4 linked regions of the Notamacropus eugenii genome follow. The protein of the gene in region 1 interacts with the protein of each later gene in a pairwise test. Links are inferred from orthologs where the notes say so. Each region holds a gene or a part of one and is shown in the gene's direction. Other genes may lie near its edges.

The links.
Region 2: the proteins of HTT (region 1) and MTUS1 interact in binary tests that used the Homo sapiens proteins (3 or more experiments, as listed by UniProt). The link is inferred for Notamacropus eugenii from reciprocal best matches to the Homo sapiens genes HTT and MTUS1.
Region 3: the proteins of HTT (region 1) and UBAC1 interact in binary tests that used the Homo sapiens proteins (3 or more experiments, as listed by UniProt). The link is inferred for Notamacropus eugenii from reciprocal best matches to the Homo sapiens genes HTT and UBAC1.
Region 4: the proteins of HTT (region 1) and DNAJC4 interact in binary tests that used the Homo sapiens proteins (3 or more experiments, as listed by UniProt). The link is inferred for Notamacropus eugenii from reciprocal best matches to the Homo sapiens genes HTT and DNAJC4.

Annotation. Positions count from the first base shown.
Region 1 is NC_092877.1:53,267,519-53,274,805, forward strand, and holds the start of HTT (huntingtin), read left to right. Parts: upstream 1-3,882; 5' UTR 3,883-3,894; coding exon 3,895-4,115; intron 4,116-7,287.
Region 2 is NC_092878.1:168,561,158-168,569,443, forward strand, and holds the start of MTUS1 (microtubule-associated tumor suppressor 1), read left to right. Parts: upstream 1-5,089; 5' UTR 5,090-5,283; intron 5,284-8,286. UniProt on the Homo sapiens protein: Cooperates with AGTR2 to inhibit ERK2 activation and cell proliferation. May be required for AGTR2 cell surface expression. Together with PTPN6, induces UBE2V2 expression upon angiotensin-II stimulation.
Region 3 is NC_092872.1:490,823,734-490,831,947, forward strand, and holds the start of UBAC1 (ubiquitin-associated domain-containing protein 1), read left to right. Parts: upstream 1-5,012; 5' UTR 5,013-5,316; coding exon 5,317-5,454; intron 5,455-8,214.
Region 4 is NC_092873.1:17,067,072-17,074,624, forward strand, and holds the start of DNAJC4 (dnaJ homolog subfamily C member 4), read left to right. Parts: upstream 1-4,330; 5' UTR 4,331-4,416; intron 4,417-6,872; 5' UTR 6,873-6,880; coding exon 6,881-6,972; intron 6,973-7,450; coding exon 7,451-7,544; intron 7,545-7,553. Other genes in the region: uridine diphosphate glucose pyrophosphatase NUDT22, read left to right, coding at 1-284, 1,804-1,902, 1,997-2,094, 2,487-2,580, 3,386-3,490.

The DNA of each region.
Region 1 (7,287 bases):
CAGTGAAAAAAAATGCCCTAGATTTGGAGTTAGGGGTTCTGGGTTCAGATCCTAGCTCTTCCATTACTACCTACGTGGTATGGTGGCTAGAACACTGGGCCTGGTGTCTGGAAGATCTGAGTTCAAATGTGGCCTCAGACGCTTACCAGTATGACTCTGGGCAAGTCACTTCACCCTATGTGCCTCAGTTCCATCATCTGTAAAATGGGGCTTGTAATAACACTGACCTCCCAGGGTTGTTGTAAGGATCCAATGAAATAATAATTATAAAGCGTTTATCATAATTAGCACATAGTAAGCATTATATAAATTTTAGTTACTATGATTACTACTGGTGACTTCAGTGGTTCTACTGGATACAGCATTGGATTTGGAATCAGAAAGACTTGAATTCAAATCCAGCCTCGGGCACTTTGGAGCTCTGTGACTCTGGGTAAGTCACTTAACTTCTTTTGCCTCAGTTTTTTCTTCTGTAAAATGGGGACAATAATAACACCTACCTCCCAGGGTTGTTATGAGAGCCAAATGAGATAATATTAATGACATGCTTAGTTCCGTGCCTGGCATATAGTAGGCGTTTAATAAATACTTATTTCCTTGCTTCTCTGAATCTCGTTTTCCTTCTCTGTGAAAGGAGAGAGTTGGACTAGATTACCTCTGAAGTCCAGTCTAGTTCTAAATCTAAGTACAGAGCCCTGTATTAGGTGTATGGGAAGATATAAAGGCCTGGTAGGACGGGAATTTAGAAATGGGAGAAGACAATAATACTTCAGGGGCCCATGATTTTATCTCTTCCCAGATTAAGATCAAAATTCCTCCACATTATTCATGAGGGACTGTGATTAAAAAAAAATAACTCCAGGAGGCTAAACCTTCAGTCATGAGACATTAATTCTATCACTGGGCCTGTACTTTTTATCCTTTCCATATCTGTAGGATCTACCAGAGGTTGTGTTCCAATGGTGTTGGCTTTTGAGGTGTTGCTAGGGTCTCCTCTGTGCTGTGATGAGGACTCTGTGGACAAATAAGTAAATAACCATTTAAAAATAATAAATTCCATTTATCCAGGGCTTTAGGGTTTAAGAAAGCATTTAAAGGATAAAAACTGTTCTCCTCATGACAATTCTATTAAGTACAAGTATAATTATCTCCCTTCTGTAGATGAATAAAACAAGGCTCAGAGATGTAACATAGTTGGCAAAGTATCAGAGTGCAAAGTTTAAAACAAAGGTCCTGGGAATCGAAATCTAGAGCTCTTTTTGCTAGACTACTTGAATGGATTTCCTACTGGACTCTGGAACCCACACCCTCATCCCTTGGGTTACTGTGTGGAAAAAGTACAGCTCAAATCCCCATTCAGTGCAGAGTCCAGGCAGGAAGCCCAAGTCAAATAGTAAAGTATTTAAATGAAACACACGCACATAGCAGATACCAAGCAAAACTATGTAGAGAGTTCCTCAAAACAAACAAGGAGTCTCTCATGAGTTCAAGGGCCAGAGGGGGAAAAGAAAAACATTCTCCCCAAGGGAATTCATGTTCTAAGACAGAGGTATTAAACACAGGGACCAGTATGAACCAGATTAAAATGCAGTTGGGAAATATTTAACAAAATAAATGAAAATGCAAAAAAAAAAATAGACAATATTATATTTCAAAATTAAGTTACATACATATGAATATATATATATGATCCTTATAGTTAAGTTTGATAAGAGTGCTGTAGGACAAAGGAGTCAAATACTGGGCCACTCTCAAGTGCAGCTCAAACCAGATTAAAATGTAATTGGGAGTGCCAATGTAATTCAAGTGTAAGACAGGGATAGGGTTCCTAATTTGGGATTCACGAACAATTTGTTTCCTTGGTAATCCTATGTATTTTAATTTATACATTTAAAAACATGATTCTGAGAAGGGGTCCACAGGTTTCATTAGGCTGCAAAAGGAGGTTGCCTTGTATCATGTCTGGGTCATATTTTGGGTCAGCGCCTCTCCTCTTAGACTATCATTTATGACAAAGCTGCAGTTCTCTGAATCTCTGTATGATCAGCTGTCTTTGCTGAAAGTCTACTTCCTCTTAGCAGGGGAAAAGACACTTCATGGCTTCTGCTGCCCCTTTACTTCCCTCCGAGTTCCCAAGTTCCTCTTGGCCCTGGCCACCTTCTATCATCCCTGTGATAAGTTACATCTGTATGCTACTTTAAAGTTTGAGAAGTGTTTTTTATAATATCATCTCCTCTGAGGTTTGGAATAGCCCTGGGAGCTAAGAGGAAACAGACTCAGAAAGGCTGAGTGACTTGTCCATGGAAGCAGATGTCTGGCAGTTTTCCAGATTCTGGGATGATCCCTCTATCCCCTGTTGTTAATTACTCTGCCAGAGTCAGATTACTTGTCAGTTTCTTCGGTGCCTCTTCTCATTGGCTCCGAGATCTGGTTCAAGGGGCTGCTTAGACAGTTGTGAATTACCTCCATGCTCCTTCTCCAGAGAGGGTCCCCTCATCCTTGTGCCTAGCTCAGACAGGGTGAATGCCTTAAACCTCCTTCCTGCCTCAGAGGGAAGGTATTAGTTGCCTCCTCACACTATCTGCCTTCATTTCTGAGGTTGGGATAAACCCATGTACCCCTCTTATCATTTCCTGTGCACCTCCCAACTTCGGCACTGCCCCATTAAGAACTCCCCATTAAGAGATGGGGGGTGGGGGTAGAGAGCACATACTGCTAGCTCCTATAGGAATTCCTGTTGTTGAAGCTTTTAACCCTCTCTATGCCACCCCCTCCCCAATAAAATAATACACCAGCAGCATTCAATAAATTATAAGGCGTCCCCTTCCTGCTGGGCACCGGGGATACAAGAAGGGCAAAGACAGTCTCTGCTCTCCAGAGCAATTACAATCTAACGGTGGTGGGTGGTGTGGACCCCAAGCAATCCAATATGTACGAACAAGCTAGGCACAGGACAGCATATACAGGAGGTACGGAGAATTGGCACACAAAGCAAGCTACCCTGGATTTTATCCTGTCTCATCTCCAGGCTAGGCAGTGAGTTTCTCGGGGAAAAGGGACCTGTGTGGATGAACTGTGTTGATACATGGCCTGGCAAGAAGGCAAGCCTTGCTTTTTGAGTCGAATCAGGCTGCTTCCAAAACAAAAGGAAGGAGGTTAGACATGGGGAAGAACTTTTTGACTGGTAGTGGGGGTGGGGGAGGCTCTGTTGTAGGTTGGGACGATATTAGTGGCTAACACGCTGAATCCCGCCTCAGAGGACCTGGGTTCAAATTCAACCTTCAACACTTAGCCCAGGGCCAATTCTACTTGTTGAGCCTCAATTTCCCCTTCCGTACTCGTTTCCTCATGGGATTGTTGTGTGGCTTTGCAGCTCTCTGAGGATGAGGCCGACTCTCGGACAGGTTCGGCTGAGTTTCTTCCAGAGACCGAGGAATGCAGAGAGTCCCTCTTTCCTCGGGCATCTCTTAACCCCTCTCAATGTACCAGAACCACGTTCATCCTACGTCGGCAGCCGCCAGCGCTACAGTGGGGCCCCGCCCCGTAGGAGGTGGGCGGGGCCTAGGCCCGCCTCTCGCCTCTGATTGGCGGCCGCAGTTTCTGCCTCGCTGTCACTCCCGCGGTGCCCCCTCTCGTCAGCGTCAGTGTCTCCTCCCAGCTCAACCCCGCGCTGAGGGCCGCTTCCCGTCGCGGGGGCTGCCGGGACAGTTCCAAGATGGCGGCGGCGCTCGGCGCCGTCTCGGGTCTTTGCCAAGCGTTCCATTCATTTCCCGGCTGCTGAGCGGGGCCGCGGAGACGCGGGAGAGGCCGGGGGCCGCCGGGGAGGGCGCAGGGGGCCACGCCGGGCCCTGGGCTGGCGCCGGGAGCCGCGGGGCCTCCCGCTGACTGGCCGCCATGGCCACCCTGGAGAAGCTGATGAAGGCATTCGAATCCCTCAAGTCCTTCCAGCAGCAGCAGCAGCCGCCGGCGCCGGCGCAGCCTCCGCAGCCGTCCCAGGCGCAGCCGCCCCAGCAGCCGCCGCAGCAGCCGCCCCAGCAGCCGCCGCAGCAGCCGCCCCAGCAGCCGCCGCCGCCGCAGCCCGGGCCGTCCGGGGGGGAGGAGCCGGCGCACCGACCGTGAGTGGCTGGCGCCGGCCGGGCGGGGAGAGCGCGGCGCCCCGGCCCCTCCCGGGATCCCCGGTGCCCCCGAGAAACGGGGCCTGGGGGTGGGGCTCCGGGGGGCTGGCGGCCGGAGCACCTGTGGTCCTGGCCCCGAGGGCACCCCTCAGCCTGTCACCTCCCCGGCTTGAGGGAGGGGGTCTCGCCCCACCCCCTTCTTTCCTGGGCACTAGACGTCCGGTCTCCTCCCAGACCCAGGGGGGACGTCGGGGGGCCCCCTCAGCTTGTCCCCAGCTTGGCGTCTCCTCCCCCGGCTGAGGGGGCCCGTGGTGCGCGCCTCGAGGAAGGGAGCCGGGGGTCCCCTCATCCTTCCCCCCAGCGTCGGGAGACCCGGGGCTCCCTGCGCTTGCTCCCCTGCTGGGAAGCGGACCCGCTTCTCGCGCTCGTTTCCTCGAAGACCTGAGACGACCCCCTCCGGCCGTCCTCCCCCTCCCCCTCCGGCCGTCCTCCCCCTCCCCCTCCTCCCCCTCCCCTCTCCCTCCCTCTTCCCCCTCCCCCTCCTCCTCTTCCCCCCCTCCTCCTCCCCTCTCCCGTGGGCTCTCTGCTGGGTTCCCGTCACTTCTCTAAGTTCGGGGGGAAGGAAGGTTCAGGAATTGGAGTGAAGTCTGGAAGTTGTGGTCCCCGCCCTGGGTTTCTGACAGCCCAAGACCTGGGTCCTGGCGGGGGCGGAGGGTGGGGCCCGGGACGTCCGCTAGAGCCGAGCCCCGGGGGTGGCTCTTCTGGACCTGAGAGTTTTGGCTTCGTTACTAAGTTGTGTAGAGCGTTAAATTCTAGTCAGGGTCACCATGATGATGACAATAACGAAGGGTCCCAACTTCTCACTTTCCATGCTGGTCTGTAAGAGTTTGAATAGGTTGTAGTACATAATAGTAAAAATGAGATGAACTTACTCTTAGTTCAGGAATTTTAATTTTGAATAAACGAGAGATGGTAATAGTGAAAGTATTGGGAAAATTTTCCTGAAGTCCATTTTTTTCTCTTGGAAAGAAAAATGCTTCTGGAGACAGTAGTTAAATTGTTACAAGACTAGGAAGATAATCTTGAATATACTTTCCCGATGTTGTTTGTAACTTGCTTGGACTTGGCACGTACGATAATTCTGAGATGCACGTTACAGAAACATGTCAATTTGAAGCAATGAAAAAGCGTTTCAGTGCTTACTATCTTCCAAGCACCGGGGTTGCGGATAGAAAAGCTACAATCCCGGTTCTCAAAGAGCTCACATTCTGACAGGGGAAGACAACACATGGAGGAAGAAAATAAATAAAACTGGTCACAGATGTCATCCTTTTATAGACTGTTTGCCTAGTTGTCTGCTGCTCTGTTTTCTTGAGAATTTACTTAATTGAAACTGAAATACATAGGCCACCATGAAAGCTGAGAACTTGATGTGAAGTTTTGCCTGTTTTTATCAGTAAGGTTAAAGATGGTGTCAGTGAACATTGGCCTGAATATAGTATTATACCTTTGTAATAATATTGTTATAAATAGTAAGAAAATAATTCACGAAAAAATAATTATGGAAAATTACTTTAGCTACTTTGTTGGACCCAAATGTCCATAGGTGTGACTTCATTCTCCACCAGTACCAGGCAAAACCTCTCATGTCTTTTCATCCTGTAAATTCTTGTGTGTCTTCACATAAATCCCTCTTAGAAAATCTGTCCAATGTACTAGGAACTTGACTCTGGTTCTTTTGTATCAAAGGATACTGGGGGAGCAGGGGAATTATTCATCTTTGGTCTGTCAGTTTGGCTATACAACTGGCCCACTTTTTTGTCCTAGTCACTGATGCTAACTTAAAACACCATTTAAATTAAAAGTTTATTTTTACTATAAAATTATTTTCCCACAGACACAAAACATTTCAATGTACAAAAAAAAAGGTTTGCATATGAAGGGGAATATCCATTATGGGCAATTTGCTTTGAAAGATAGAATATATTTAATTTAATAATTAGCAATTGCCCAGCTTGTATCCCCTTCAGAGCTTTGTTTTCTTCTGTGTACCCACTTTGTTTCCAGTTTTTTGCTACAAGAAAAAGTGTTGCTATGATTATTTGTCCTTGCGAATCTTTTCCTTTCTGTCTTCGACCTGTTTAGGATATATGCCTAATAGTGCTATTGCTGGGTGAAAGGATGTACACACACACACACACTCTCTCTCTCTCTCTCTCTCTCTCTCTCTCTCTCTCTCTCTCTCTCTCACACACACACACACACACTCACTAGTGGTATTTAAAATACAGTTCCAGATTATTTCCCAGAGTACTTGGATCACTTTACAGTTCCATCAACAGTCCATAGTGTGCCTGATCTCCCATAACCTGACCAATAATTGCCATTTTCATTTGTTGCTATTTTTGCTAATCTTATTTATGTGAGGTAGAACCTCAGAGTTTTAAGCTCTACTTTTCATATTCATGTCATTGCTAGTAATATGCCATTGTTTTTTTTTATACCCATCATGAATCTTTCCAGTGCTATTAGGGTTACTTATAATTTGATTCTTCCAAGATTTTGGCATATCATGATTTATAGACATGACTTATCATGTCTGTCCTTAAAAGAGATGGATATTTGTGGCAATATGCAGTTTGGAATGTGCAACTAAGAGGCACACATTAGTGTCTAAATGTGAGCTAGCCCAATCTCCTCATGTTCAATCTGGGCTCGGTTTTTTATTTTAATTAAGTGTTCAAGTTGTACATGTTGATGGACTATCAGTCTAGCTTTATATTATAGACTGAGCAGCATATGTTTTTCATCTACTTTTGTTTTTCTAGTGTGGATGGTTAGAATAACTCTTTTGCATTGTTCTAGCTTCCCTATGGAGGCTTTGGGAGAATTCTTGGTCTTGGTATGGTTATCATGATGCCATGTATAAAACTTCTCGGTTAGAAAGCACTGGGTTAAAGTTGACAAGGTTTTGCCACACAAAAATGTACCAACTTAAATTTTAGAATGATACACTAGTATCTTCTTAATCCTTATCATTCTGTTCAATTCAGCAAACATTAAGAAGTGTAAACTAGAGCTGTGGGATGAGGCTTCATTGGAGAGAATAGACTGCAATCTCCCTTGCCTTTTGGAAATTTATATTTTGTGGGAGGGGGAGGGAGATAGCTGA
Region 2 (8,286 bases), on another chromosome or scaffold:
TGGGCTTTAGGCATGTCACTTTATTGACTGGATGGAGGATAGCCTGGGGTTGGGGGAGACTGAGGCAGGCAGACCTTACCCCCAGCAGCCATTGCAACAGTCCAGGTGGGAGGGGATGAGACCTGTACCAGGCTGGGGCAACACAGAGGGGAGAAGGGGGCAAATTCAAGAGATTCTCCAAAGGTCAGTGGGACAGGCCTTGGCCACAGCTTGGATCTGGGCGGCTGAGACCAAGGCTAGGAAGGAACCAGGAGACAAAGTGGTCTGGACAAGAATATGAGGGGAGGAAAGTGACCACTTAGTGAAGCAACACCCATTCAGTGAACAGGCCTCTCTAAGAAGTGAGTGGCAGGATGCATGGGAAAAATCCATGCAGTGTTCCTGGCGGTCAGAGCATCTGGTTGGGAGGAGCCTGAAAGGGCCCCTGGGACAGGAAGTCCCAGGGACCCCAATGTCTAGTGAGAGGACCCCCAGCTTCAGAATCTCCCTGCCTCAGTGCCCAGTGCCCTCAGGGAAAGCAGCTACAGCTACCACCACCAGTACCACAATCACCACTCTCAGTACCATAAGAACCAGCCGCAGCAGCCCCCCCACAGTGAGTGACTTTCTGGCTCTTATCTTTCTCTTTCTCCAAGCTCGAAAAATCGATCTTGGGTGTACATGGGCTCCAGTGTCCAACTGCAGAACTGCAGAAAGCTCTGACTCCCTCTGTCTGTTTCTCTTTCTCTCGCTGGCTCAGCCCCACTTCCAGCCTACTCTGGAGGAAAATTCATCCTCTGGGTGGGGGTCCTGGGCAGTTTTGCTGCCCACAATTGTGAGCAACCAAACTCATGGTAAATGATCATCCAGTTTGAATAGCAGCTTTGAGCAGCCCAGTAACATGTACAAGCAATTAAAGGAATAAAGTTTCTCATGACTGACTGCTTTGGTTCCAAATGTGGTGGGCATGATAACAAATAGCTGCCATCCTTCCGAGCAGAAGGAAAGAGGGAGTGGATGGATAAAAGAGAAGCAGCAGTCCTCCCAGGGATGGAGAGGTGGGGGATGAAAGGGACTGTGAACAACACCACTTCTAGGGCTGTATCCCAAAGAGATCATACAAATGGGAAAAGGACCCACATGTACAAAAGCATTTCTAGCAGCTCTCTTAGTGGTGGCCAAGATCTGGAAATCGAGGGGATGACCATAAATTGGGGAATGGCTGGACAAGTTGTGGTCTATGAATGCAATGGAATACTCTTGTGCTATAAGAAATAAACAGGAAGACTTCAGAAAAACCTGGAAAGACTTTGCTGAACTGATGTTGAGTGAAGTGAGCAGAACCAGAACACTCTACACAGTAACAGCCACAGTGTGCGAGAACCACCTTTGATAGACTTAGCTCTTCTCAGCAATGCTTGGATCTAAGACAACTCCAATGGAAAATGCTCTCCACATCCAGAGAAAGAACTATGGAGTCTGAATGCAGATGGAAGCAGACTATTTTTCTTTTTTTGTTTTGTTTCTTGTGGTTTTTCCCCTTTTGCTCTGATTCTTCTTCCACAAGACTAATGTGGAAATAGATTTAACATTGTACATGTATAACCTGTATGTCAGACTGCTTGCTGTCTTGGGAAGGGGGGTGGAGAGAGAGAGAGGGAGAAAAATTTGGAACTCACAATTTTACAAAAAGAAATGTCCAAACTATTTTCACATGTCATTGGGTTAAAAATACTATTAAGGAGAAAAAAGAAAGAAAAATAAATAAGTTAAAATCCCCAAGCCCGCCCAAACATTAAATTTCTGAAAATTGCATGCTCAATGAGCTTAAACGAAGATTAAGAAAAGAAAAACCAACTAATTAATAAGATAAAGAGGAATCAAATGGATAAATGAAGAAAACGGGCGGGGCTGCCCCTTGGCTTCCGCACGTTCTGGCCCCGATCGCTTCGCAGCCTCCATCTCGGTCCTACTATCCTGCACTCGTGTCCGCCGCGTCCTTCTCCACACTCAGACGCCTTCCAGAGAACAAAGGAGAAGATAAATATTTGATGACAGACAGACCGACATTCGGGATGGGAATAATGACCGCGGGAAGGCAGGCTCCGGATTCGGTTACGCCGGAGGATCGGGTGAATGGTAATTAGCCTAATGGAGAACCCCTGAAAGTCTCTGCCCTCGGAGAGGCTCCTCTCAAGAGCCTCCCATGGCTTGTTATAGAGACAACGTGCATCTGTCTGGGTTCAGGGGAGCTGGGTGCAAATCCACAGTCAATGGCTCAGTATTAGATTCCCAACATTCCCTCCTTGTGCCTGCCTCTCTGAAGGAGGAGCCTTGGGCATAGAAGAGCAAAGGGTACAAACATTGATTAAGCACCTACTGTGTACTAAGTTCAAGGTTAAGCACTTTACCTTTATTATCTCATTTGACCATCACAACAAACCTGGGAGGTGGATGCTATTATTATCCCCAGTTTACAGTTGAGGAAACTGAGTCAGACAGGCTAAGTGACTTGACCAGGGTCACACACCTGGTAAGTGTTGGAGGTTAGATTTGAACTGGGCATTTTCAACTCCATGCCTGGCACTCTGCCCACTCTGACACAGAGCTGCCTCTGGTTCAGTGCAGGGTATGAGAGCCAATTTGGGCCACATGAATGGACAACGTCCTTCCTACCAGACTTGGTTTACCTGGAAACAGTGGCCTGATCAACAAGTGCTTTTTGGTCTTGGCAGCTGAATCTCCAGGGAGGACTCCCCAAGAGGATGAATAAGGCTAAGGACAGTCATGCTCCGATTGGTCACAGGAGGGCTGCCCACAACTGGTTTTGGACATCCATTTACAACAAACATATCTCTTGTAGAGGAAGAGGAAAGCCTTCCTCTGCCACAGGCCTGTGGCCCAGCTGAGTCACCACTCTCAGAGGAGGATGATTTGATTGTTTTCTTTTGCCATAAAATGTCAAATGCCCCAGGCTGGCATTTCTGTAGAGGGTCTTTTGCTTGGCAAAGCGAGGGTGTGGCACTGGCCTCAGTTTCTCTGAGAGGGCCTTCCTGGCCTGTAGTCAGCTTGTTGACTGACTATGGAATGCTCCCCTGCTTGTTCAGGGGAGGGTGAGTGTGGCAGAGATCAGAGGCATGTTACAAGCGGGCAGCCTCCTGGGATTTGGCTCTCAAGAACGGCCCTGAGGCTGCCCCCACCTTTCAGGACAGCAGGCCTGCTGATTCTTTGCTCCCTTGTTGGTAGGGACCCTGTGTTCTCAGCCTTGAGAGGCCAAACCCTGGAGTCTCCAATCTAAGATTCACAGAGTGAGACTGGCCTGGCGTTGGGGGCACAGGGCAGCCTCCCCAGGTGTGTGCCAGGACAGTGCATTTGGAGCCTTGGAGAAGGGGGCTGGGAGGTGCTCACTGGGCATTGGCTCGCCATGGGATCCTCTTCCTCTGCCCCCCCTCACCCATGGGTGCTGGGGTCAGCCAGGCTGCACAATAGGATACTGTTATTCAACACCAGGTCCACAGACTACTGAGAAGTCTGGGGCCTGCCCTCAGGGGGTTCAGTCTGGTGAGGAGCAAGCCCCTAGCCTGGAGAACTTTGATGCCCAGGGTTACGCAATGCCTGGATGCCAGTGGGGCAGGGAGGTGCCAGAACGGATGCCAGGGGTGAATGAGTCAGACCTGTGGTGGGAAAGACTAATAACCACATGGCTATTTGTAACACTCATCTGTCAAAGGAAAACAATCGGGAGACTGGTGCATGTAACTCAATGGGATGCCTGACTCCTGGACCCTGGCTGGAAGACAGACAAAGCAAGGCCTCCTCTTCTGACATCCTGGGGCAAGTGCAAGGACCCCCTGCTCCAAGGGGGCTGATGGTACCTGGGAGACTAGGGGCCCTGGGTCTGGAGCTGGGGGTCCTGGTTGTACATGGTGTGCCTAAGCAGGGTCAATTTTGACAAGTCACTTCTGCCCATGGCCTCAGTTTCTCCACCTGTAAAAGGAGAGGGTGGCTGAGACCCTCCCCAGCTCTGGAGCTAGGATTGAATGGTCTTAGGTTTTACAGAGAGGGAAACTGAGACCTAGAGAGTGAAAGAGACTTGTCCAAGATCATCTAACTAGTAAGTGGATGCTAGCCCAGTGGGAAGATTGGTGGGTTTGGAGTCAAAGGCTCTGGGTTCAAATCCTACCTTTGCCATTTACTGCCAGCGTGACCTTGGGTGATTAGGTTCTCCTCCCTGATCCTGTTTCCTCATCTGGCTCTTTGAACTTCTGGTCTGACTCTCTAATTGTTGCCCCAGTGGGCATCATGTGGCTTCTGAGGTGCCCAGGTGAAGGTTCCTGGCAGCCCTCCCCCCTCAGTTTCAGCACTGCTTGCCCCCAGAAGGCATCCCGAGGGTGGGTGCCAGTACCGGGTGGCCAGGGGCCCCAGGGTTCCCTGCAGCTCCCAGCTCAGGGCTGGGCTTTTTCTCCTCTCCCCCACCCCGATGTGGATCTCTTGGAAAAAATGAAGTCAAACAGGTTCCCCAGCAGCACACACAATTGGCGGCTGTGACAGGCCAGGAGGGCTGGGTCCAATCCTCAGGGTTACCACTGGCCCTGCCCCTGGGCACCTTGCGCAGGCCGGGTCGGGCTGGCCCACGACGGGAGGGCTGGGTCAGTGTTACCTGAGGGTCAGGGACACGCGGAGCTGGCACTGGCCCTGCCCCTAGGCTCCTTGCGCAGGCCGGGCCAGGGTGGCCCACGACGGGAGGGCTGGGTCCCATGCTCAGGATTACCACTGGCCCTGCCCTTGGGCACCCTGCGCAGGCCAGGCCGGGGTGGCCCGGGAAGGAAGACAGAGAAGCCTCAGCCACGCTCCCGGCTTGGGACTCCCAAGGTCCAGCCCCGGCTGCTGGGTGACCTTGGGCCGGGCCCTGCCCGTCTCTGGGCCGCCGGGCTCCAGCCCCAGGCTGAGACCCCCACAAAACGCAGGGCCGGGGCTCGAGTCCGGCAGACGCAGCGATAGCGCTGGGGAAGGGCCCCAAGCACCGGGGGACACCAGGCTGGAGGACTGACCCTGAGAGGCGGGGCTTCGGGAGGAGGACCCGGGGGCGGGGCCGGGGCGGCCAGGGGATGGGGGCGGGGCGGCCGAGGCCGCTCAGGTGCGGACGGAGTGACCCCGGGCGTCGGAGTCAGCCCCTGGAGCGGCTGGACGCTTTGGGATCGGCGGCGGCGGCCAGCCGGGTCCTGGTGTCCGCTCTGGCTGAGCTCGGGGCCCCGGACTCTGGGGCTTTTGGACGGAGCGTCTGGCAGACCCGCGAGCCCCAAGGTACGGCCAGGGCCAGGGAGTGGAGGCGGGAGGCGAGTGGGGTGGGGAGGCCCGTGACTCCGTGGCTCTGTCTACGCTCAGGGCCGAGCCTGAGGACGCACTGCGGTTGTGGGTGCCCTGCCACGGGTTCCGTGCGTGGGAGTGTGTGCGCGCGTGTTGGGGGGAAGGGGGTGGGGAAGAAGAGGGGCACCTTCCCCGGGGCGCGTCGCCAAGGGGTAACCGGCCTGGCCACCCCCTCCGTGGAAGACCTTGGCTTACAGCTCTGCTCCCTCCCAACTTCGGTTTCCCCAGCTGTCCAAGGAGAGGCCCGGGCCAGCCCGTGCGCCTGCAGAGTCCCCATTTGCACGGGAGGACACCCATGCCCGGGAGTCCGTGGGCAAAGTGCCCACGAAGGAGGTGGGAGGGGGCGTCTCTGCTGCCCCGCTGACGCCTTGGGCTCCCCTGGTACCAACCCCGGAGGGGAGACCCCGAGTGTGGACCGGGCTAGGGAACCCATCATTAACTAGGAATCTGGGGTTCCGGGACCTAGTGGTTAAGCAGATGATCAGTTTCTCCAACCCACCCCTTCCCCTCCTGTATTGGGGGGAAGGGGCTAAGGGCCAGGCACAGCCCTTGAATTCAAAAGTTGTGACTGACCTCTGGCAGTCTGTGAGTGTGTGAATGGGGGTGGGAGTGGGCGAGGCACTGCCCCCAGCCTCAGTTTCGACATCTGCAGAATGAGAGCATTTCCCATTTGTATAGCAGCATCTTAGTGACCATGCTAATGCTTTCAGGGTCCCAGGGAGGGGCCTCCTCTTGGAGTCTATTATGATTCCCATTTTACAAAGGGGGACAGTGAGGCACACTGAGGCCAAGCAGCTCACCCAGGGTCCCCCATTCAGGAACAGCCTGAGGCGGAATTCTGGCCCCTGTCTGGCAGTCTCAAGTCCTTTGTCTTCCTCTCACCCCCACCCTCCTCGACTGCTTTCTGGATTCCCTTTAATAAAGAGAGAGGGAACCTGACTGTCCTATCCCATGAGTTCTGGGGAATGACTTTTATGCTTCCAGAATCTCCCTGTCAAGGAGAGTCTACTGCTAAGGGCCTCTGGGTGGCCAGAATCAGAATGCTGGACCTGAGTCAGGAAGCCCTGAGTTCAAATCCAGTCTCAGACCATCCTAGCTGTGGGACCTTGGACAGCGTCTCTCTGGTGATACAAGGTCCTCACCACCCCTCCCACCCATCCACCCATCCCCAGGCAGTGTGAGGATTTGGGAGGTGCTCTGCAAACCACAGGACCTGCCATACAATGCTAGCTACTGCTGATACTTCTAACCTCCATAGTTAAGTCTGGGAGAGCCCAGGACCCCGGCCTGGTGCCTGGAGAGCAGAGACCTGACATCCAGTTGTTCTTGTCCTGGATCTCCCTCCCCTCCCCCCCTCCCCGCCCCCTCCCGCTCAAGCCTGCAGGAGTGTGCGGGGTATCGCCTGAGACTTTGTTTGGAGCTTTTCCTAGCCTGGTGGGTAGAACACCCATTGATCATATAAACACACTGAGGCCCAGGGAATTGGGAAGGAATCCTCAGAGGCCGGAGAATGCTCCTTTCTTCTTGGCTTTTTGTAGCCACGAATGACTTTCTCCTTTTGACCCATTCTGGGACCAGAGCCCTGACTTGAAGCTAGAGGCAGATTTAGGGTGTGGCCTTTAAGACCTATCTAGAAACTGTACACCCTCCCCAGAACGGAGCCTCAGGGCTGGGTTTGCTTTGCTTTGGTGTTGGGTGGCAGTTGGACCAGGGCTGGCCTAAAGCTAACTTTTCCCTTTAGGAAGAAAAAACTCCTCAGATGTGAGATCTCCTTCAGGTGGTTGCTCTCTCCAGTGAAGCAGATCACCACCCAGTCCTGCCCTGCCCTTCCCCCCCAAGTGTTTGGTCCTCCCAGAAACCTTGGTAGACAGAAGACTGTGTGGGAAGCCCTGGAATTTGCAAGGGAGTCCTCCACATTGTGCCTTGTGTCACTCCCCTGTAACCTTGGCTTCCCCATCTCCATAGGTGACTGTCACCTCCAGGTGAGGCTCTCTGGAGGGCAGGGCCTTTGTTTTCATTCTTCTGACCACCCAGTGTTCTGGGGACCTTCCGGGAATGCTTTCCATTTTCATGGGAACATCGAGTACAGCCCAATGGCTTGTCCCTCCTTCCCTCTCTGACAGCCGGCCGGCCTTTACATGACTCACAGGAACACTGCCTTTTTTGGCCCCCAAAGTCCTAGCCTGATGTGGAGGAATTGGAGAGGTGGCCCCAAGGCCTCAAAGGCCACTCGAACTCTGCCGGGGCCTGGTAGGAGAGCAGAGGCTTTTGGAGTTGGCCTGAGCCTGCTGGACTTTGTCTCCCCCCCAGTGAGGAATGTGGTAGCTCCCGGCATCCCAGGGAAGCATGAGACCCTGATAAAGAAGATGTAAGGATGAAAGGACAAGCGGCCGCTTCATATCATCCTGAACCTAGCCTTTCTAGACTAATCCAGTCCCAAGAGCCACCCAGGCTGCCTCTCATTCCTCCAGCACTGTCGAGGGCTAGGGAAAGCCATGCTTTGGCTCTGAACCTCCATTAATCCAGCTGGCCCACAAGGCCCAAACCCACTCTGACGCACAGTAGGGATATTAGAGAGGCAGATGAAGGGGAAGTCCATGGATGACAAAGACAGGGGAGGAGCCATCCCACTGTCCTACTGGGAGTGATCTCAGGCCTGGAGCTGGCAGGGATGGCACAGGCCAACCCCTCCCCCCAGGGCTCCCCCCCAGCTTCCTCTCTGGGAGGTGAGTGGCTCCTCTCAACCCTTTCCAAATAAGAAAACAACTAATTTGTGTGTGTGTGTGTGTGTGTGTGTGTGTGTGTGTGTACACACATACATATATATGTATATATACACACACACACACACATATAACCTCTCTCTCTATATATATATACATATACACATATATATAACCCATACACACACACACACACATATATATATAGGAGGGAGAG
Region 3 (8,214 bases), on another chromosome or scaffold:
GTGAAAGATAGGGAGCAAAGCTAATACTTCCATGTGGTCTCCTCCACAGAAAATGCCAAGGACAGATTCCATTTCTTTCAAGGGAACTCTTGGTGCTGGGGCACAAAGCCAGGCTGCTGTCCTGGAAAATGAAACCTGTCTTCAGCCACTAGAGCTTGCTCAGCATAGAAGTTAGAACCAAAAGCCACCTCTAGCCTTTCTGTCCCATTTCTCTCCCTCTTTTCTGTCCCATCCTAGTTGAAGCTCAGATCAAGTTCCAGAAAAGGAGGAGGGACAGGGAGAAGAGGGCCAGGGATATCCAAGGAAATGATACTTCTGTGGTCAGTTCTTTTCCTCTTCCCCTTGATACAATTGTCAAATGTCAGGGCTAGGAATTTTAGGGCACAGAATGTCAGAGCTGGAACGGGCCTTAGAACCCAGAATATTAGAGCTGAAAGGGCTTTAAAGATATAGAATATGAGAGCTGAAAACGGACCTTAAAGAAAGTCAGAGCTGGAAGGCAGCTTTTCTACAGTGGACTTTTTTTTCTTTCCAAAACTTTTCTAAAAGCAGGTCTGGCTATGTAATCCCCGCACTCAAAAATCCTGTTACTTTTAGGATAAAACACAAATTCCTCAACTTGATATTTAATCATCCCCATCTGACTTTCACATTTTTTTTTCCAGTTTTATTTCATAATTCTCTTCTTCATATACTCTATGTTCCTACCAGACTGGAATGTTAGCTGTTCAATTATGTTTAAAAACAATTCTTAATATTTATTTTTAAAAATTTTGAGTTCTAAATTCTCTCTCCAACCTCACTGTTCCCCAAACTTGACATGCTTTCTCCCAGGGTTTGTCTATACTATCTCCTGTGCCTGGAATGTGCTTCCTTCTTACCATTCACTTGCCCCAAGGCTCATTTAAGGTACATCTTCTTTTCTGAAGCTTTCCAGATCTTCCCATTTACATCACATTCTTTCCATTTTCAAAGTATTTATTATTTACATATCTGTATATTTTGTCTTTTACCAGTAGACTATGCCTTGAGGACAGGGTCCATTTGTTGTTTTTTGCCTTCATACCCCCAGCAAGCAGGCCTTTGGTAGGGAAAAAGAATGCAAAGGCCAGAATGATCTCCTGAGAACTATCTAATGCTACTTTATTTTAAAGAATAGTTATTAGCATTAATTCTGTAGTAACTTTGTAGTTACGGCAAATTGGGCCCTGAACTGTGAAATATCATGTTGTATATTTGTCAAAGGAGGAGAAACACTGGACTCCTCTGAGCTAGGGCAAAGTGCCTTTACCACAGCAATCTACCTTGAGGCCCACTCAGTCTCCAGACTTCTAACTTCTCAACCGCCTTGAGAACTGTCTTCCCACCCTGAAGATACTTCTGCCTTGAGTTTTGCTCTTCTGATTGGTGAGTCTCTAGCCAAGATTACCATTTTATGAGGGGTTCAGGCCATATTCTCTTCAATCACTCTCTAAACTTCTCCATCTTCTTTCCAGAGAAAGGAGATAGGCAATTGATCTAGTACCCCTCAACTCTACGACTCCCCTTTATGTATTGTCTTTCCTCCTTAGAATGTAAGTTCTTTGAGGGTAGAGACTACCCCTGAATCAGTCAAAACAAAAACGTGGTTGCACTTGTATCTTATTGAGGAATTATTCAGTCCAGAGATCCTCCCACTTTGGACTGTTTGACTGAAGGCCTATAAATCAAGAGGCAAGGCTAGAAGACATAAGGTTTCATTATCATCAGCTGGTAGGCAGTTGATAGGTGACTAGCCACAGAACCAAGGGAGGTACATACATACATAGGATTTTACACAGCAAAAGGTGTTTTTATAGTTTTACAGTGGCATAAGAAATCTCTCAGCTGAGGCAACTTAGGTACTTCCTTTATTGAATAATAGGGACAGGATGTCAGGTGATTTGGGGGAAGTGATGTTTTAAATGGAGTTTGGATTTGTTAACTTCATTTCTTGGGCAGCTAGTTGTAACAGTAAAGACCCTGGCATACACAGGAGGGCCTGTTGTACATGTTCTTAGATCTGCTTTTCTAAAAGGAAAATGACTTTTGAGGGATCAACAATCTATTTTAATCAAGCACATGTATCATTCACTTAGTTCAGGGGGAAAAGTTAGCACCCTGAACTTCAGAAAAAATACAGGCAGAGAAATAAAGATCAACAGACAGGGCTTCCAACTATCTGACCAGAAGCAATACATACATCACAGATCAACAGACAGATCCAACTTCACAGACCAATGTACATACATAGTTACCAGAGAGAGAAGCACCAATAAATATCTGGGTTTTTAAAGTCGGGGGGGCTTCTTAGCAGCTACCCAGAGTCTCCTCTGGCCAAACAAACATTTCCAATGAGTAAGCCCCAAAACAAAACCTCACCTCAGAGTATTTATACATTTTTCAGAGCAAGAGGGCAAGATCCCCTGATCCAGTGCTTCAATAGAAATTAGCAAAAGATATTGAGGCCTGTTAATGGGTGGGGAAGATCTTTAACTCTTCTCCCCCACCCCCTCCATTAACCTTAAATTATTGTTACACTTGGTGGTATAGTGAATAGAGCACTGGGCTTGGAACCAGGAAGATTCATTTTCATGAGTTCAAATCAGACACTGGATAAATCACTTAGCCTTGTTTGCCTCAGTTTCTCAGCTGCAAAATGAAATCTTTGCCAAGAAAACCTGTAAAATGGGGTCAAAAAGAGTCAGCTATGACTTGTTGTCTAAGGATTTACCAAGGATCCTGTTTACTCTGGTCACTAATCCTATCAGAACCTAGGTCTCCAAGGTAGTGGAAGCTTCCTTCCAGATAGAATCAATGGGCTTATCCTGTTGAATAAAATTTACACACTCCTGTAGCTCCTTTTGACCTTTAAAGCTACTTTTTCTGGAGAGATGTTTCCCCCAAACTTACAGCACACAGATTTTATCCATTTCTTCCACAATTCCCAACAAAAGTATACTTGTATTTGTATCCGCAGTATTTACTTCACTGCTTGGCACATAAGTGCTTAATAGATGCTCTATCTAGCCACTTAATTAATACTTGGTCCCCACACATTTCATCATGCATTTCTATGTTTTGCATAAATGGTCTTCCCATATTTGGAACGTATTCCTTCCATCTCCACTTCTTGGAATCCCTTAGTTCCCTTTTCTTTCTTTCTTTTTAAAATTTATTTACTTATTTTTAGTTTCCAACATTCATTTCCACAAGATTTTGAGTTCCAAATTTTCTCTCCATGTCTCCCCTCTGCCTACCCCAAGACAATGTGCATTCTGATTACTCCTTGCCCCAATCTGCCCTACCTTCTATTACACTCCTCCCTTCCCTCATCTCCATCTGATTTCTTGTAGGGCAAGATAGATTTCTATACCCCATTACCTGTATATCTTATTTCCCAGTTGCATGTAAAAACAATTTTTAACATTCGTTTTTTAAACTTTGAGTTCCAACTTCTTTTCCTCTCCCTCCCCACCCATCCCCACTGAGAAGGCAAGAATTTGATATATATTATACAAATATAGGCATGCAAAACACTTCTATAAAAGTCATGTTGTGAAAGACTATATTTCCCTTCATCCTATCCTGCCCCCTATTTATTCTATTCTCTCTTTTGATGCTATCTCTCCTCAAAAGTGTTTACTTCTAATTACCCCCTCCTCCCATTTGCCCTCCCTTCTATCATCCCCCCTAGCCCTCATTTATCCCTTTCTCTCCTACTTTCCTATAGTGTAAGGTAGATTTTCATACCAAATTGAGTGTGCATGTTATTCCTTCCTTGAGCCAAATGTGATGAGAGTAAGGTTCACTTTTCCCCTCTCACCTCCTCTCTCTTCCCCTCCATTCTTGCCTCTTTTATGAGATAACTTGCCCCATTCCATTTCTCCCTTTCTCCTCCCAATATATTCCTCTCTTACCCCTTAATTTCACTTTTTAAAATATCATCCCTTCCTATTCAACTCACCCTGTGCCCTCTGTCTATATGTATATAACCCCTCCAATTACAGAGAAAAGTCTCAAGAGTTACAAATATTATCTTTCCTTGTAGGAATATAAACAGTTCAGCTTTAGTAAGTCCCTTATGATTTTTCTTTCCTGTTTACCTTTTCATGCTTCTCTTGATTCTTGTGTTAGTAAGTCAAATTTTCTATTCAGCTCTGGTCTTTTCTTCAAGAGTGCTTGAAAGTATTCTATTTCATTGAATGACCATCTTTTCCCCTGAAGGATTATACTCAGTTTTGCTGGGTAGGTGATTCTTGGTTTTAATCCTAGCTCCTCTGACCTCTGAATATCATATCCCAAGCCCTTCGATCCCTTAATGTAGAAGCTGCTTAGCTTCCTCTTCAAAGAGCAGTTCAGATGCCACATTTTAAAGGCCTTTCCTATTCATCCTATTGATTAGCACTCTCTCATTCTCTAAATTACTTTGAGAATATTTTGCATTTACTTACTTGTGTACATACCTTATCTTCCCAATGGAATGCACACTCTTTGAGCATAAGGACTGTTTGCTGTTAGTTTTGTTTTTGTATCCCCAGTGTCTAACACAGCACCTTGCCCATATGAACAAATATTAAGTTGAATTGAATCCTATTGAGTGTCTCCCTCAAGGTCACCACAGCAAAGAATGTGATCGCGTTTCCAAATGACTGCTTTCAGAACTGGACAGCTCCAAGGGGAGTCTAAACAGAGCCTGGGTTAGAGGCTCCTCATCCAACTGAATTAGCCTTGTGAACTTGGGCAAGTCCCTTTCCTCCTGCGTCTCAGTGTCTTCATCTACAAAACGACATTATTTATTTCCAAGTTCTCTTGCAGCTGTAACGTTTTCTATTTCATGTTGGTCTTTCAGCCTGATATTCTTTAGTCTTAGGTCCCTTCCGGTTCTAAATCTTATCCCGCGCATTCTTGCTCTTAGGGTCCACGGGATCCCTTTGAGGCGAGTCGAAGCTGGGACTACAACTCCCAGAATACCCCGGGGCGCACCTCCTCCCGCACTTCCGGCGTGCGGCGGCAGCGGCGGGTAGCTAGTCAGGGCGACGGCTGCGGGCGGAGGGCGGCGAGTGACAGGTCGCTACGGGGCGGGAGCCAGGGTCGGGGCCGGGACCGGGGTTTTTGGGGACTAGCTTTTCTGCTTCTCTCGCTCGTCCGCCCGCGGTGACCTTCATGGGCCGCGGGCCCCCCGCCCCGGGGCGGCTGAGGAGGGCCGTGTGAGGCGGCAGCAGCGGCGGTGACTGAGGCCGAGGGAGACTGAGGCGAGCGAGGCCCGGGCCCGGCCGGAGCCGAGGGAGGGCGGCGATGTTCGTGCAGGAGGAGAAGATCTTCGCCAGGAAGGTCCTGAGGCTTCACATCTGCACCATGGAAGGCACCGAGTGGCTGGAGGAGGTCACCGAGGATACCACGGTGGAGAAGCTCAAGGAGCGCTGCCTCAAACACGTAAGGAGCCGCCGCCGAGCCGGCGGGCCCTGCCTCGGGCGCCCCTCATCCCCATGCCCCCGGCCCTAGCCTCCCGTCCCTCGTCCCCTCCTTCCGACCGTGGCGCACAGCCGAGAGCCGATCTGCCCTCCGTTCTCTCCTCCGTTTACATTTTCCTTCCCTCGCTGAACCCCCCCCCCCCCTTTTCTTTCCTTTTCACTCACTCTCGTTTTCACTGATGCTTCTTCACTCCATCCTTCTCTCCTTTTCCCTACTTACAGTTTTGTCTCTTTGCTTTTCGTCTTCTCCTAAAGTTTCGTTCTCCTTTTTAATCTACTTCCTTCCTTCTTTCTTTTCTTTCCATTTCTGTTTTTTCTTACATTTAACCTCTTTCTCCCCTTTTCTTCCTTTCTTCATTTTACAGCTTATTCCCCCAGATAATCAATAAGTATCAGATACTTACTATGTGCCAAGGCAATGTTCTAGGTTCTGGCGATACAAATAACGAATGAAACAATCCCTACTTTAGAAAGGAACTTACTTTCTCATGGAGGAGTAAGCAATAATACCTGTATTTGTATCGGCATAGCTATTGGGGTGTATCTGTGTGTGTGTGTGTGTGTGTGTGTGTGTGTGTGTGTGTGTGTGTGTGTGTGTGTGTGTGTGTGTGTGTAGGAAGAGAGAGAGGCATATAGGTACATATGCGTGTGTATATAGCTACAGTTAATGTAAAGAAAGTAAAAAATGCAAAATAATTAAATTTAAAATGGTCCGAGAGGGAGGGAACTGGAGATTCAGAAGCCCCACCCCTTCCTCTAGTGTTTTCACATTTTTTCTGGTTTTAGACACCTTTTCCTTTTTTCCACATTTCTCCTCCCTAATTATAGTTTCCTGTGCCCTTCTTACTACTTCTAAACTCATCTAACTCATTTTTCCATTTCTTTTTGCCCATTTGTGTTTTCCTTCCTTAATCGCTTTTCTGCTTTCCTTCTTCCCCTCTTACATTTCCATTTCTTGTTATCTGTCTTCTATATCTCTTCCTCCTACAGTTCTTTTCCTTTTTCCTCCTTCCCTCCTTTTACTTCTGGTTTTTCACCTCATCCCCCTTTGTTTTGACATCTTTTTTTGACCTCGTTCAATAATCCTTAGTCTGTGAACTCATTTTCACCCACCTCCATTCTGCTTCTCCTGGCTTTTTCTTCTTTCTCTTTTTGTAGTACAATGGATTCTGGTCCTAACTTTGCTCCCAACAAGCTGTGCAGCTTTAGGCAAGGGAAAGCCTTTCTGGACCTCAGCTTTTCCATCTGCAAAATAAGATGCTTGCACCAGATGATCTTTAAAGGACTTTTCTAGTTCTCACATTCTATTATTTTCTTCTTTTCTGAGGTAATATGAACTACAGAAGGAGATAGGTAGGACACTAGACACTTACCCTCATTACATAATCTGCTTCAACTCTTTTGATGATTCAAGGAAATTTTGAAAAGGATCTTTATATTCCTCTGTCACTTTCAGTGATGCACAGTAGGGATAAAGAGGCAGAATGGCCCCCTGAATAGAGTTAAGAAGACTTTGATTCAGGCTCTGCCTGTAACACATACTGACTGTGTGACCCTTAACCTCTCAGTGCTCTAGGCAGAGAAGGTGCTGACCTTTGTTGGGAAGAGGATTTCCTAACCTGAATTTCCTATATCTATGAAATCACAGGTCCAGGTCAATTCCTATCTTTCTGGTGAAGTTTTAATTTTTTTTTCAGTTTCACCATGAACTCATAGTTAGTGTTTTAAGGCACACTTAAATGAAGTCATAGAAACATTAAAACTGTCTCGATAAAACCTGGCATTTTGGACTATTCTTGTTAACTGTTATTTGTGTTGCATGTTCTCCACAGCAGGGTTTAGTTTTTTTTTCCTACTGTACTTGAAACCACTAAAACGTTACCTCTCCTCTCAAGGCATTCCTCTTTGGTTTGAAATTACTACCTTTAAGAAAAAAAACTAAAAATGGATTCCTGATTTCTGATTTTCTGAAGTGACCACACTTTTAAATTTATTGTACACAAATGAAATGAGTTAGTGTGTGTGTATGTGTGTAGCTATCATATATTATATAACTGATGGCTGAAACGAATTCCTGGAGACTTACTCATTTCTGTAAACTTTAACTTTATAACACAATTCATAGACCAAATGTATAAATGCCTAGTCAATACTTGTCACTATGTTACATAAAGTGTTGTGCCAGAGGCCATTGTCTCATTAGAATTGGGAAAAAAGCTGTTGATTGTGTCACCACAGTAACCCGTTAGTGTGAAGTGTTTCTTTATGTAATATTCATGTTATAAGATATATGTGACTATGGAATATGCATGTTGTAATAATCTATGTGTGATACATTAATTATCCTTGAATGTTAAAATATGGGTAAATTGTAGCCCAGAGATTCCTTGGTGTTATAGTAGCTGTCTAAAACATTGATTTATAGTTATTTTCAGAGATTAATGAAAACTATTCTGCAGAGTCGCTATTTTTATAGGGTTATCCACTAAAGTATGGAGCGTAGCCTGCTACTGTTTATTTACTTGCTATAGAACTATGGAGGAAGAGAGAAGGCATTTACAGATTGAAAAGAGCCATGGATTTTGAGTCTGAAGTTTTGGTTTAAGTTCTGGCCCTTTCACTTTCTTGTTTAACTCAGCTTGCTTGTTGTTTCCCTCCTCTGAGCCTCAGTTCCCTTATTCATAAGATGGTGATGATAATATACTGCTTTCCTCAAAAGGTT
Region 4 (7,553 bases), on another chromosome or scaffold:
CAGTCCTGGGGCCCCCTGACCCTGGAGGACCCTGTCTGACGCTGCGTATGGGCCTCACTTCCTACCAGGACTTCCTAGGCACCAACTGGGCTAGCTCGGCAAGCAGGCTGCGATGCCAGGGGAAAACTGACTGGGGAGATGCCCAGGCCTACTTAGCAGACCCACTGGGAGTGGGTGCCATGCTGGGCACTTCAGATGGTTTCCTGGTCTTTCTTCGCCGGTCTCTGAGGGTGGCTGAGGCCCCTGGGCTGATAGATGTGCCAGGGGGGCATCCTGAACCTCAGGTGAGCACCTACATCCTGAAGAGTCAGGCAAAGATAGCCACTGGCCTTCTAGAGCCCAAACAAGCCAGGAACTAGAAGTCTTTCAGTTGAGGAAACTGAGGCAGACAGGGTCACACACATAGTAAGTATTTGAGGCAAGATTTGAACTCAGATCTTCCTGACTTCAAGCCCAATGTGCCCCCTTGCTGCCCACCAGAGGAGTTTCTATTTGATACTTTTGGTAATAGGGAGCTGTTGAAAGTTACTGAGAACAGGATGGGGGCATCATGACCAGACCTGGGTTTTCAGAAAATCCCTTTGGTGACTGAGTGGAGGATGGGTTGGAGTGGCAAAAGGCTTGAGGCAGACAAACACCCCACCCCACAGCAGCTACTGCAATAGTCCAGGGGTGAGGTGGTGGGATGGTGAGAGTCAACACTACGGTGATAACGCTATGTAAACAGAGAGAGCGGGGAAGGTTGTAAGAGAGACTGTGGAGGAAGAAACAGAATTTAGCAATTGGTTAGCTATTTGGATTTGGGGTGAGAATGAGGAGTGTCATAGATGACCCACGAGGCTCCTGAACCTGGATAACTTAAAAGATGTTGGTGACTCAGCAAAAACAGGGAAGTGGAGGCGGTAAGTATGTCTTAAATCCCTACTGTGTGCTGGGCACTGAGCCAACAAGTATTTCTTAAATGACTACTGTGTGCTAGGCACCATGCTAAGTGGTAGGTCTAGAGGAGTGATGAGTTCCATTCTGGGGATGTTGCATCTACTGGCTAAGGGGCATTCACTCAAATGTCCAATGAGGGACCAGAGGGCTGGAGAGCGGCTAGGGTGAGTGATGAACTTCAAAGAAGGGGAGAACAGAATGTGTTCAGTGGAGAAAGGAGGAGCGATCTAGGACTGTGACTAGCAGGGCTGGGGGGATCTGAGGAAGGTTTTGGAAGGAGAGCAGCCCCTGGGGAGGTGTGCAGGCAGCCACGGAGCGGGGAGAGTAGCCATGAGGCACGGTTGCCTCGCTCACAATTGGCTCTTTTGACCTGTTCATGTGTTTATCCGTTTTGCTGAGCTGATGATTTTTCTTCTTTATTTGATGAGTCTATGGCTAAAGAGCTGAGGTCAGAGGAGAGAAGAGCCCTCCTGGCTGTGTGGAGCTCTAGGCAGCTCTCTGAGACTTAGTGGCCTGCATTGCCTGCAAGAGCTTCTTCAACCAGGAAATCCCAGGTCCATTCTCTATCCCTTTGATTCTTTGTTGCCAGAAACCAATGGCTTATGAGGGAGTTATGTGAAAAGGAAGGGTGTGTGAAACGCAAAGTCAAAGCCAGGCCTAGAGCCTCAGGTCTCCTGGTCTCTAGAGCTTGTCTCTTTTCTGGTCAGCCTGTTGCCCTTCCTCTGATGTGCTTCAGTGGGGCTGGGACAAAGGGAGTAGAGCAAGGCCGGGTCCACCTGGCAAGTCTTCTTGGAGCTGCGGACTTCAGCCTGAGAGGCTAGGCTGCCCTGGGGAGGGGAGCGAGCTGAGGCTGCCTCCTTGTAGGCCCTGTTTCCTGGGGAGATGCCCCGGCACGAGGATCTGCCCGAGGACCTGCTGGTTCCGGAGCTGTTCTCCTCCATCTTGCAGGAGATCCGAGATGAGGTGAGGTGCTGAGCCTGGGGCTGGGAGGATGTGGAGAGTGGGGAGAGCAGGAGCTGAGGCAATGACCCCTGACCTCCGACTCTACCCCCACCAGGTAAATGTGCCACTATCCACTTTGAGCCATCCCCTCCTTCTGGGCATTGCCCGAAATGAGACCAGTGCAGGAAGAGCCAGTGCTGAATTCTATGTCAGGTAAGTGGACATCATATGGGGAACTGTGCTTCCTTCTTCTGAGGGACAGAATTAGAAGTAGGAATAGGCAAACTAGGGAGGGGATCAGGGCACAAACATTTTAAAATGTGACTTTTTTTAGAAGGTCTTATTTTTAATACAACCAAATCCTGCTGTGTGTGAACTACCAGGCTTTCTTCTGCCATCAGCCAGATTCCACTTTTCAGGGAAAGCTTGATGTCCCTAGGGGCACAGCATCATAGAAGGGCTCTTCTAGGAGAGGCCTGAAGTCCTGGGCTTGGAAAATTGAGATCTGGGCACCTGGAGCCTCAGGGCAGGATGGAGCTTGGGACCCCTGGCCAGAGTGGGTCTGCCCTTCTCCCAGAAGCTTGTCTCTCCCCCTCCTCCTTTAGCTGTAGCCTGACCTCTGAGCAGGTGAAGACCCTCTATATGACCGGAGGACCGGAAGCTCATGAGTCCACTGGAATCATCTTCATGGAAACGCAGGTGAGAGTTGGGAGACAGGATGCCTTGGCTGATGCTGGGAGTGAGTGGAAGGCTGGACAGATTGGGGGATAGCAAGCCAGGGCCACAGGTGGGATTTGGTTTGCTCCAAATCACATGGGCAGATAATAATTATGTTTTAAGATGTTCCCAGGCCAAGATGAGATTTTAAAGAAGGTAAACAGGCAATCCTGAATCTGTACAATTGATGTCTTGAGCCCCAGGGCTCAGTGTGGCTGGTGTGGCTGATTAGATGCTAGTTCCAGTGTGAAAGGTCTTAGGGTTTAAGTGAACAGTCAGCTCCAGGAGAGTCTGGGGCAGCCATGGGGGTTCCCTCTGGCTTATCCTGTGTTAGTGGAAGATAGTATTGTGTTCAGTTGTGGGCACAGCACTTTAGGGTAGGCATTGACAAAATGAAGCCTCTCTGGAGGAGGGTGGCCCACGTGGGGAAGGAGCTCACGTTCACATCACAGGAGTGGTGGAAAGAAATGGGAATGCTTATCCTAGGTGGTAGAGGGATTAGATCACTCTGCTTAGCCCCAGAGGATAGAGCTTGGGAGGGATGGATGCAAGGCTGCCCACACTGCCTCTCCCCGGTGGTCTTCAAGCAAAGGCTGGGTTGCTCTGTGCCAGACATGGTGGGGAGGGGATTCTGGACAGGGAGGAAACATGAGCAAGTGGACAGGGGGCCTCTGAGGTCCCTTCTGGTGTTAAGAGGCAAGAATACCCAGAAGCAACCAGGAGTGGGGAGGTGAGGGAGGGCGGCTGGGGACCTAAAACCCTGATCCAAGACTGTCTTCCTGCACAGAGAGTCGGGCGCTTGCAGGAGGAATCCGAAGCCTGGGGTGAGCTCTGTCCTTCGGCCAAGGGCGCTATTTTGCTCTACAATCTGGTCCAGGCCAGGTTGGCCTGAGAAAAGCCCCTGTACCTTGTATCCTGCCGTCCCTTCTCAGCTCTGTCCTGGGCCGTCCGGACAATAAAGCCTTTATTCTTGGAGCTGTGGTGTCGTCCACTCTGTCTTGTAAGGCACTGTGCCTTAGTTTCTCCTAAATGGACAAAGAGGCATGAGCTTACTGCGTGAGCTCAGTCTATGCGGTCCTGGAATTTACAGGTTGCTTCAGACCTTGACAACACCTCACCTTCGTTGGGTCCTGGACCTCTGGGAGCGTCTTGGGAAGCCCACGGACCCCTCCTTACCAGTTTTTTGATGCATAAAAGAATAGGATTATAAGGAACGATTTCTAATGAGATAATATCAAACTCAAGACCCCAGCACGCCTTCATCTAACAGCTAGGGAAACTGAGGCCCAAGGAGGAAAGGAACTGACCCCTGGGGACGGCTTTCCCAGCCCTGTGTGTGCTGGGAGCCGGGGTGGGGGCTGCACTCCATGGACTCTTGGCTCATTCCCAAGGTGACCCTGGACAAGTCACTTGACCTCCTCTGTAAAGCAGGGCGGGGCTGGGTGAGATGCGCTCGGAAACCTCTACCCTCCGGGCCCGCCCCCTGCCCAAGACACACCCCGCAAAGCAGGCTAGGCAGAAGGGGGAGGGGCCGGGGCCTACGGGGGCCTATGGGGCTCCACTAGGGGGCGGGGCTCCATGACGTCGGGTCCTGCTCCTTACGCCTCTGCCTCTTGATGGGCGTGCCTAAGAGCGCTAAGGCCAATGGGAGCGGCTGAGGACGGGTGGTGGGTGGGGCTACGTCAACTGATTTTTGTGGGCCTGGTAGGCGGGACTAGGAGCGGCGTGGGCCAATTGTAAGATCCTGGGGGCGGGCGATGGGCGTGGTCTGAGCGGGAGAAGGAAATGGCGGCGCGGGCGTCGGACTGCGGAGCTCCCGTGAGTGTCCGGGCGGACGTGGAGGGGGGGGGCGGGGGGGCACAACAGAGGCAGTACGTGGGGGCGGGGCTTAGCGCCCTGGCCCCTCCCCTGAGATCAAGGTTGGGGGGGCGGGGGGACATCAGCCTTGTTTGCGGAGCCAGGACTTGGGGCAAGGGGAAGGTTTCGGGGGGGGGGGAGAGAGAGACAGAGAGAGAGAGAGAGAGAGACTTCCTCTGCCTCAGTTTCCCCCCCGGAGGGGGGTGAGAATCTGCTCCTCCTCCTGTCAGCCTCTCCCTCCCCGCGGGAGGGACTCCCGAAGGCCGGACACGCCCAAGTCAGAGACCCCGCCGGTGCCCCCAGTGCTCCCTTCTGGCCGTCCCTGGTGGCCGCCGGTGCCCCCAGGGTCAGATCCCCAGCCTCCGCAGTGCACGAGACCCCGCCGGTGCCCCCCCAGTGCTCCCTTCTGGCCGTCCCTGGTGGCCGCCGGTGCCCCCAAGGGTCAGATCCCCAGCCTCCGCAGTGCACGAGACCCCCAGTCCCCCCAGTGCTCCCTTCTGGCCGTCCCTGGTGGCCGCCGGTGCCCCCAGGGTCAGATCCCCAGCCTCCGCAGTGCACGAGACCCCGCCGGTGCCCCCCCAGTGCTCCCTTCTGGCCGTCCCTGGTGGCCGCCGGTGCCCCCAAGGGTCAGATCCCCAGCCTCCGCAGTGCACGAGACCCCCAGTCCCCCCAGTGCTCCCTTCTGGCCGTCCCTGGTGGCCGCCGGTGCCCCCAGGGTCAGATGCCCAGCCTCCGCAGTGCACGAGACCCCGCCGGTGCCCCCCAGTGCTCCCTTCTGGCCGTCCCTGGTGGCCGCCGGTGCCCCCAGGGTCAGATCCCCAGCCTCCGCAGTGCACGAGACCCCGCCGGTGCCCCCCAGTGCTCCCTTCTGGCCGTCCCTGGTGGCCGCCGGTGCCCCCAGGGTCAGATGCCCAGCCTCCGCAGGGCACGAGACCCCCAGTCCCCCCAGTGCTCCCTTCTGGCCGTCCCTGGTGGCCGCCGGTGCCCCCAGTGCTCCCTTCTGGCCGTCCCTGGTGGCCGCCGGTGCCCCCAGGGTCAGGTCCCCAGCCTCCGCAGTGCACGAGACCCCCAGTCCCCCCAGTGCTCCCTTCTGGCCGTCCCTGGTGGCCGCCGGTGCCCCCAGTGCTCCCTTCTGGCCGTCCCTGGTGGCCGCCGGTGCCCCCAGGGTCAGATGCCCAGCCTCCGCAGTGCACGAGACCCCCAGTCCCCCCAGTGCTCCCTTCTGGCCGTCCCTGGTGGCCGCCGGTGCCCCCAGTGCTCCCTTCTGGCCGTCCCTGGTGGCCGCCGGTGCCCCCAGGGTCAGGTCCCCAGCCTCCGCAGTGCACGAGACCCCCAGTCCCCCCAGTGCTCCCTTCTGGCCGTCCCTGGTGGCCGCCGGTGCCCCCAGTGCTCCCTTCTGGCCGTCCCTGGTGGCCGCCGGTGCCCCCAGGGTCAGATCCCCAGCCTCCGCAGTGCACGAGACCCCGCCGGTGCCCCCAGTGCTCCCTTCTGGCCGTCCCTGGTGGCCGCCGGTGCCCCCAGGGTCAGATGCCCAGCCTCCGCAGGGCACGAGACCCCCAGTCCCCCCAGTGCTCCCTTCTGGCCGTCCCTGGTGGCCGCCGGTGCCCCCAGTGCTCCCTTCTGGCCGTCCCTGGTGGCCGCCGGTGCCCCCAGGGTCAGGTCCCCAGCCTCCGCAGTGCACGAGACCCCCAGTCCCCCCAGTGCTCCCTTCTGGCCGTCCCTGGTGGCCGCCGGTGCCCCCAGTGCTCCCTTCTGGCCGTCCCTGGTGGCCGCCGGTGCCCCCAGGGTCAGATGCCCAGCCTCCGCAGTGCACGAGACCCCCAGTCCCCCAGTGCTCCCTTCTGGCCGTCCCTGGTGGCCGCCGGTGCCCCCAGTGCTCCCTTCTGGCCGTCCCTGGTGGCCGCCGGTGCCCCCAGGGTCAGATGCCCAGCCTCCGCAGTCCCCCCAGGTGCTGACCTGAGTAGGAGGATGAGCTGCCGCGGGGCGGCCGCAGCCCCGATCAGCTTCGGAGCCTTGCCGGCTGCAGGGGCTCGGCCGGTCACCGCGCCTGAGTCTGCCTCAGTTTTCTCAGCCCTAGAGTAGCGGTCATAACCCACATCCCAGGGTTGTTGTGAGCACTAGATGAGATCATGTTTGGAAAGTGCTTAGCACGGTTGGGGCACGTAGTAAGTAGGTGCTTAGTAAATGCCCCCCAGGGTCCCCCAGCATCAGAGACCCTCTCAGTGTTCCCCAAGGGAAGACCAACTCCCAGGGTACCCAATGACAGAAGCTCCCCCCCCCCCCATCATCACTCTCAGGAAGCCTGCCCAAGGCTATCTCTGCTGCCAGAGATTCCCAGCCCACCCAAGGGAACTTAGAGACCATCCAGCCAAGTGCAGCCTGGGTGACTTGTCTGTGTCCTGCCCATCTTCCCCCAGGTGCAGAAATGCTGCTCCTCCGCTTGATCCCTCAGCTTTGCCAGCTATGCCCCCGATGCCTTCCTTCTGCCAGGCCCCTCAGCTCTGCTCTCTGCCTGAGGTGAGTCCAGCTAGGAGAGGGAGAGACCCCAGCCCCAGGCCTGTCTCCCGACCTATCTGTGACCTTGGGTTCTTCAGGGCTGTTTTAAGGGGGTTGGACCAGGTGGTCTACAAGTCATCCCTTTTTGGTGGTAAGGACCTGCTTGAGACTGGTGGGGGGTGGGGCTTCTCTTCTGTGCCCCACCCCCAGCTCCCACATTCTATGCTCCACAAAGAGTCCTGGATAGGGGACTCAGAGGGCCTGAGTTTGAGTCCCAGCTCAAACACTTCCACCCCCTTTCTGGGCCTCCATTTCGTCATCTGTAAAACAAGACTTGATTCTGACCTCTGAGGTCTCTTGTATAAGAGGCTGGCTTGATCTGCTCAGGGCCCCACTATCTCCCCAGCCCCTGACTATCTCTTCAGTGACTGGATAAGATTCTGTTACTTTGGGGACTCAAAGAACTATCCAGTCTCCCCCACCTCCATCTTCTGTGCAGGGCAAGGCAAAGTAACTATTATGAGCTTCTGGGGATCTGTCCAGACGCCAGCATGAAGGAAGTCAAACGGGCTTTTTTTGCCAAATCCAAAGAGGTGTGTCTG